Linked DNA regions of Danio rerio. The protein of the gene in region 2 interacts with the protein of the main gene of each other region in a biochemical or structural test. Links are inferred from orthologs where the notes say so. Each region holds a gene or a part of one and is shown on either strand. Other genes may lie near its edges.

The links.
Region 1: of the proteins of dtl (region 2) and chek1, one has a biochemical effect on the other in vitro, tested with the Homo sapiens proteins (2 studies listed by BioGRID). The link is inferred for Danio rerio from reciprocal best matches to the Homo sapiens genes DTL and CHEK1.

The regions. Positions count from the first base shown.
Region 1 is NC_133196.1:24,021,631-24,024,238, forward strand, and holds part of chek1 (serine/threonine-protein kinase Chk1), read left to right. Parts: intron 1-901; coding exon 902-1,090; intron 1,091-1,217; coding exon 1,218-1,322; intron 1,323-1,468; coding exon 1,469-1,564; intron 1,565-1,655; coding exon 1,656-1,728; intron 1,729-2,210; coding exon 2,211-2,376; intron 2,377-2,608. UniProt on the Homo sapiens protein: Serine/threonine-protein kinase which is required for checkpoint-mediated cell cycle arrest and activation of DNA repair in response to the presence of DNA damage or unreplicated DNA.
Region 2 is NC_133195.1:14,398,314-14,402,151, reverse strand, and holds part of dtl (denticleless protein homolog), read right to left. Parts: intron 1,387-3,838; coding exon 1,283-1,386; intron 1,009-1,282; coding exon 904-1,008; intron 533-903; coding exon 420-532; intron 188-419; coding exon 98-187; intron 1-97. UniProt on the Homo sapiens protein: Substrate-specific adapter of a DCX (DDB1-CUL4-X-box) E3 ubiquitin-protein ligase complex required for cell cycle control, DNA damage response and translesion DNA synthesis.

The DNA.
Region 1 (2,608 bases), on a different chromosome or scaffold from region 2:
ATTACTATAGTAGTAGATCAATACAGACTAAACTAACATAAACTTAATATTTTTCAAATATTGTTTTACACAGTAGTCTATGGCATGATCATATTTTGGGGTCTGTGACATCTACAAGAATAAACATCTGTGTTGTAGTGGATGGACATTATGCATATAAAATATTTTGCTAACACTACAATAAAGTCCAATTATATAGTCCATTTAAAATCAAATACTTTCTTCGCTGTATTTTTTATCTTTACTTATGAGATATTCATTCTTGTTATCTCAGGTGCGTTAAAAAACATTAAAAGACAAAATAATGTATTGGTAATTGTTGAAAAGAACATTTAATTAAGACGAATAAATGCTTAAGTTTTCAGTATTAGTTCATGTTTACATAGTAAACTAATTTTAACAATTGATTCTAAGTATCAAGTGTAGCGAGCATTACTAAGATGTGCACTATAAATTATTAGTTTAACAATATACAGGCTTGTATATGTAGACTGTATACAGGCATTTCTTCAATTTCAAAGTCCTAAAAAGTCTTAAATTCACTGAAATATTGTGTTGTGGGTCTTAAATAATTTTAAACTTGTTTTAACTTTCCTATGTTCATGTAAAGCTACCCAATTGGACCAACACCCAGGCAATTACCAACATTTCATCACTATCTCATTAAAAGTTCTAGCAAAAGTTTATTAACTCTATTTACCATACCTATTAATATAACATTTGTTTTTACAGTTTTTTTTAAGCTTTAACTGGGCCATTAGAAAAAATCCTTAGCGTTTAACCTTGTGCAAGTCAGAAATTTTATTCATAATGGTCTTAAAAAGTCTTAAATTAGACTTGATGAAACCTTTGGAAACCAAAATATAATTTTGATATATACATTTTGTGTATTTTCTGTCAGATAATCTGAAGATCTCTGACTTTGGCCTGGCTACCATGTTCAGGCACCGTGGCCGTGAGCGAGCTTTGAACCGTCTGTGTGGTACTCTGCCCTATGTTGCCCCAGAGTTGATGTCACGCTCATCTTTTAACGCTCAGCCTGCGGACACTTGGGCTTGTGGCATTGTGCTCACTGCAATGTTAGCTGGAGGTAAGACTCTATTGATTTTATATTTATTTATTTTTTTATGAAAATATTATAACCAGAAGTTTAAAAAAGGCCCAAGATTGTATCTTTAACATTTTATTGCATCGTATTGTGTTGAATTTCTCAACAGAGTTACCCTGGGATCAGCCGAGTGAAAACTGTCAGGAGTATTTGGACTGGCTGGAAAGAAAGACCTACCTTACGCCCTGGAAGAAAATTGATGCGGTACCCCTTAGTAAGTATCTTCGACTTGCTAAATTTGACAATATTTAAATATTTATTATAGATTTCACTTTGGCCGGAAGGCAGCCACTCAAAACTACTGCATACAAACATTCAGAACACCTCTGATGTTAAGAAGTTTTGTTTGTTTTTGATCAGGTCTGTTGTCTAAGATATTACTGCACAATCCAGAAGACAGGTTCACCATTCCTGAAATTAAGAAACACCGCTGGTTTAGCAGAAGTTTCAAATCAGGTACTGTTTCAAACATCAGCTCAGTAGCTCTGCAAGTGCTTTAAGAGTGTTTGTGTTTGTGACTGTTTTGCGTCTGAATTTTTGACCACAGCAGTACAACGTCAGGGCATCACACCAGCAGCCAAGATTCAACGGGCTGACTCTGAGCTAAGACGAAAAAACAGGTCAGTATGATAAATACATACAGTGCATCCAGAAAGAATTCACAGCGCTTTACTTTTTCCAAATTTTTTTATGTTACAGTCTTTTTCCAAAATAGATAAGGACAGGTGTGCCAAACTTGTGGCATCATATTCAAAAAGACATGAGGCTGTAATTGCTGCCAAAAGTGCATCAACAAAGTATTAAGCAAAGGCTGTGAATACTTATGAACAGGGTTTTTCAGCTTTTTTATTTTTAATAAATTTGCAACAATTTCAAAAAATCTTTTTCACATTGTCATTATGGGATATTGTGTGTAGAATTTTAAAGAAATACATGAATTTAATCCATTTTGGAATAAGGCTGTAACATGAAAAATTAAAGCACTATAAATACTTTCCGGATGCACTGTATGTTGCCTTAATGACTGTTTAGTATTGAGCAAAACTCATGAGCTATTTTCTGCTATAAGGGGCACATAATCACTACCTGTGTGTTTCCTCAGTGATGACCGAGCGCAGATCTCAAGCTCTCAGCCTGAGCCACAGGGATTATGGGAGGAGAAGGAGGTTACAGTTCACACCGATGTCAGTGTCAGCTTTTCACAACCGACCTGTCCTGACCACATGCTGCTGGGCACACAACTGCTTGGCACACCGGGTGCAAGCCAGGTAACAATTTCAATACAGTTAATAATAATTATACAGTATTTTTCAGAAAAAAAGTTACATCTGCTCTAAATTGCATAGTTAATATTTAGATTTGTTGCGATTTGTAGTTTTATTCAGGAAAATAGGCTCCACAATGAATCTTTTAAATTTCACAGTATTCAGAACAGAACAAATAATGACAATTAAAATAGGCTGAATGTTCATATTTAGTTTTGGTTTTGCCTTGGTTAAA
Region 2 (3,838 bases):
AGGAAGAGTTATGAGTTTTAAACTAATATAAGCCTTTAGAGGCTGTGCACAATTCTTAACCAGTATTTATTTGTTTGCCGCAATTACAGATACTAGCCTTGGTGAAATCGGTAGGACACCAGGCCACGGATGTGACCTCTTGGCTGTGGCCCTGAAGCATCATGGGAGCTTGTTTTGGATCTGAAATCTGGATCAAAAGTAAACAAAATCATGTGTCACCGTTGCTACATAACTTCTGATCTTCTACTTTTACATCTAGATCTGGGGCTGTATGTTACTGGAGGGATGGGGAGCTTACTTTGTAACAAAATCAAATGAATCATTTGAATAGCTCTTCTTGAAAATGTATATATATATTTTTGAGAAATATATTTGAGAATGAGGGAATTTTGCGGGTGAGTGCATGGAGAACTCCTGACCTTCCATATGTAAACGTTATGATCACTGGATCCACTAGCCAGGAACTGGTCATCTGGACTCACAGTGGACTTCACGTAAAATGAGGAGTTACTGTGACCACTGAACACAGCGACTGTGAAAAAGAGAATTAGTTCAGAAACATGCTTCACCTACATAATTCAATTATTTTGGGGATTTTTTATACCAACGAAACAATAGAAGTAAAAAAAAAAAAAAAAAAAACAGTCTTAAGTGCATAATAAATTAAAGTTATCATATTTTGAAAAAAGAAATCAATTCCGACCTGCTGAAATTAGTGCTTTTATATTGTACTCTTTAGACTTTGAGAAATTCTATGTTTGCTCACACATCATTAAAACAACTATGATATCATCATAACACTATCCCACACTCCAGATAAAAACTGATTAGTTAAAAAAATAAAAAATAACAATTTACACTTAAAAACAAACAAACTGAACACTTATTACAATTCATATGTACCTGGAGTGGTTTTCAGCCCACTGATATTAAACATGTAGATATTGTCATCTGTGCAGTTAGAGAAGAGTCTAGATCCAGTGTAGTCCAGTGAAAGACCAGAATAACCTGCAGAAGAAAAACAGGATCATGAAAAGGAAAATTAGCAATAATACTACAGAGAGAGATTATTGCCATCTCAGCTTCTCTGGCTATGTCATAGCAAAAAATAGATACAATTTATGACATTTTATAGAAATCACTTTTCTATAATAAAAAAACAATAAAAAGATAAGAGTTCCAATAAATAAAAAAAAATATTAATTAAATAAATAAAACAATATAAGATTTTTATTTGATAATATGAATTCTCATTAGTAACAGTGGGCTATGAGATGTGTACCTAGTTTGCGCGTGCAGGACCCTGGGTAAGGATAGGCCTGTAGAGGCAGGGGGTTCTGGTGGTATGCAGTATAGTTCCTCCGCAAATCCCACATTTTAATGATCCTAAGACAAGGTCAGAATGTTATTACCCATTTTCAAGAGCGGTACAGTTTAGCACAATACAGGATGCATTTCTACAGCTAGACTAACACACAGATCATAACACCTTTTGGTACCCTTTCGTAAAAAGGGAAAAAAAGGACCATCTTAACTTCTGTATCATGATGACTTTAATATAATGACAGAGTGAAACAATGAACTATGGCCAACTCAAACATAGCTTGTGCCATTTTTATAAAAAAAAGTAGTCACATGCCAATAATTTATAAGACAAGCAATTAGATTGTGATTTATATACAGCTATGGTAAGAAATAAGAGACCACCTGGAAATACTCAGTTTATGTGAAACTACCAGATTTGTTATGCAAGGTTTTGCATTAAATCAAATCACTTTTATTGTCACATCATCAGCAGCACGTGTGCTATGATGAGTGAAAAGGTGCTGGCCCCAGACAGTACACAATACAGTGCAAATTCAACGATAGTGCAATTAACAGACAGTGCAAAAAAAAATTACAGTGCAAAAGACAGACAGTGCAAATACACAAAAGTGCTAAATTCAACAGCATGCTCCTCAAAAAAAAAAAAAAAAATTAATAAATTAATTTGTTATACCGATATGTACAATGAATAGGTGTTCACATAGTTGTATTCAGTATTGTTTCAAGTATGGATTAGTTAAAGTGCAGTGCAAACTACATATTGATGGTGTGCAGTAAGGGGTATGGAAAAGTCTGTGTGGGCTGTCTTAAGTGTTCATCAGCCTGAAAGAAGAAACTTTCCTTCAGCCGGCTAGTGCGTGACCGGATGCTGCGGAACCGTCTGCTTGAGGGTAGCAGAGAAAAAAAGTGTATGGCTTAGGTGGCTGGAGTCGCTGATAATTCTCTTGGCTTTCCTCATGCAACACCTGGTGAAGATGTCCTGGAGGAGGGAAGCTCGCCTCCTACTACGCGTCCAGCAGTTCGCACAATCCTATGTAGGGCTTTGCGATTGCTGCTGGTGCTATTTCCATACCAGGTGGTGATACAGCCAGACAGGATGCTCTCCCCGTGCAGGTGTAGAACGAGCGGAGGATGTGGGGGCTCATTCCAAACCTCCTGAACCACCTGAGGAAGAAGAGGCGTTGTTGTGCCTTCCTCAGAATAGCGTCTGTTTGAGCAGTCCATGTCAAATCCTCAGCGATGTGTACTCCGAGAAACTTGAAAGGGCTGACTATCTCCACTGGTTTCCCGTTGATGGTGATGGGGGGGGTGTTCTCTCTTCTCTCTCCTGAAATCCACCACCAGCTTCTAGGTTTTGCTGATGTTGAGTGAGTTTTCCTAACACCACTGTGTCAGAGTGTGCACCTCCTCTCTGTAGTTTGTCACATTATCGGTGATTAGGACCACCGTTGTGTCATTAGCACATTTAACGATGACGTTGGAGCTGTGTTTGGCTGTACAGTCATGTGTGTAAAGGGAGTATAGGAGTGGGCTGAGAACACAGCCTTGTGGAGCACCAGTGTTGAAGATTAAGGTGGATGATGTAATGTTGTTCATTCTAGCGTCTGCTTGACAGGAAGTCCAGGATCCAATTGCAAAGACAGCTGTGTAGACCTAGATCCTGGACCTTCACCACCAGATTGGCAGGTGTTGAATGGTGTTGAATGCTGAGCTGTAGTCCACAAACAGCATTCCACATATGTGTTTTTGTTTTCCAGGTAAGAAAGAGCAGTGTGCAAAGTGAAAGCAATTGCATCATCAGTTGAGAGATTATACCTGTATGCAAATTGCAGAGGGTCAGAGTGAGCAGGCAGTACAGAGCAGATGTGCTTTTTAATCAGCTTCTCAAAGCACTTGCTGAAGATGGGTGTCAAAGCAACTGGACGCCAGTCATTCAAGCTTGTTGTTTTTAGCTGATTTCGGTATGGGCACAACAGTAGCTGTCTTAAAGCATGGGGGAACCAAAGACCGAGAGAGCGAGAGATTTAAGATATCCGTGAAAACCCCCGCTAGCTGGTGTGTGCATGCTTTAAGTACACGTCCAGGGATGCCATCTGGGCCAAGAGCTTCCGGATGTTCACGCGACTGAAAGATCTCCTTATGTCCGCTACAGAAACAGAGAGTGTGCTGGCGATTTTGGTCGCAGGAGCGCGCGCTGACCTGGGCTTCAAAGTTGGTGTAGAACGAGTTGAGCTCGTCAGGGAAAGACGCAGCAATGTTTACAGTGGCGGGATTGTTACTTTTAAAGTACGTGATGCAATTAAGTCCCTGCCACATGCTCATTGCATTATTGGTGTTAAATTGACACTCTACCTTGTCTGTGTATTGACGTTTTGCTGCTTCGATGTTTTTCCTGAGGTTGTAATTTGCTTGTTTTTGTTCCTCAGCATTTCTGAATTTATAGGCGGATGTTCCCACTAATAGGGCTGTTTGAACTTAGCCACTGATCCATGGTTTTTGGTTGGGGTAGATA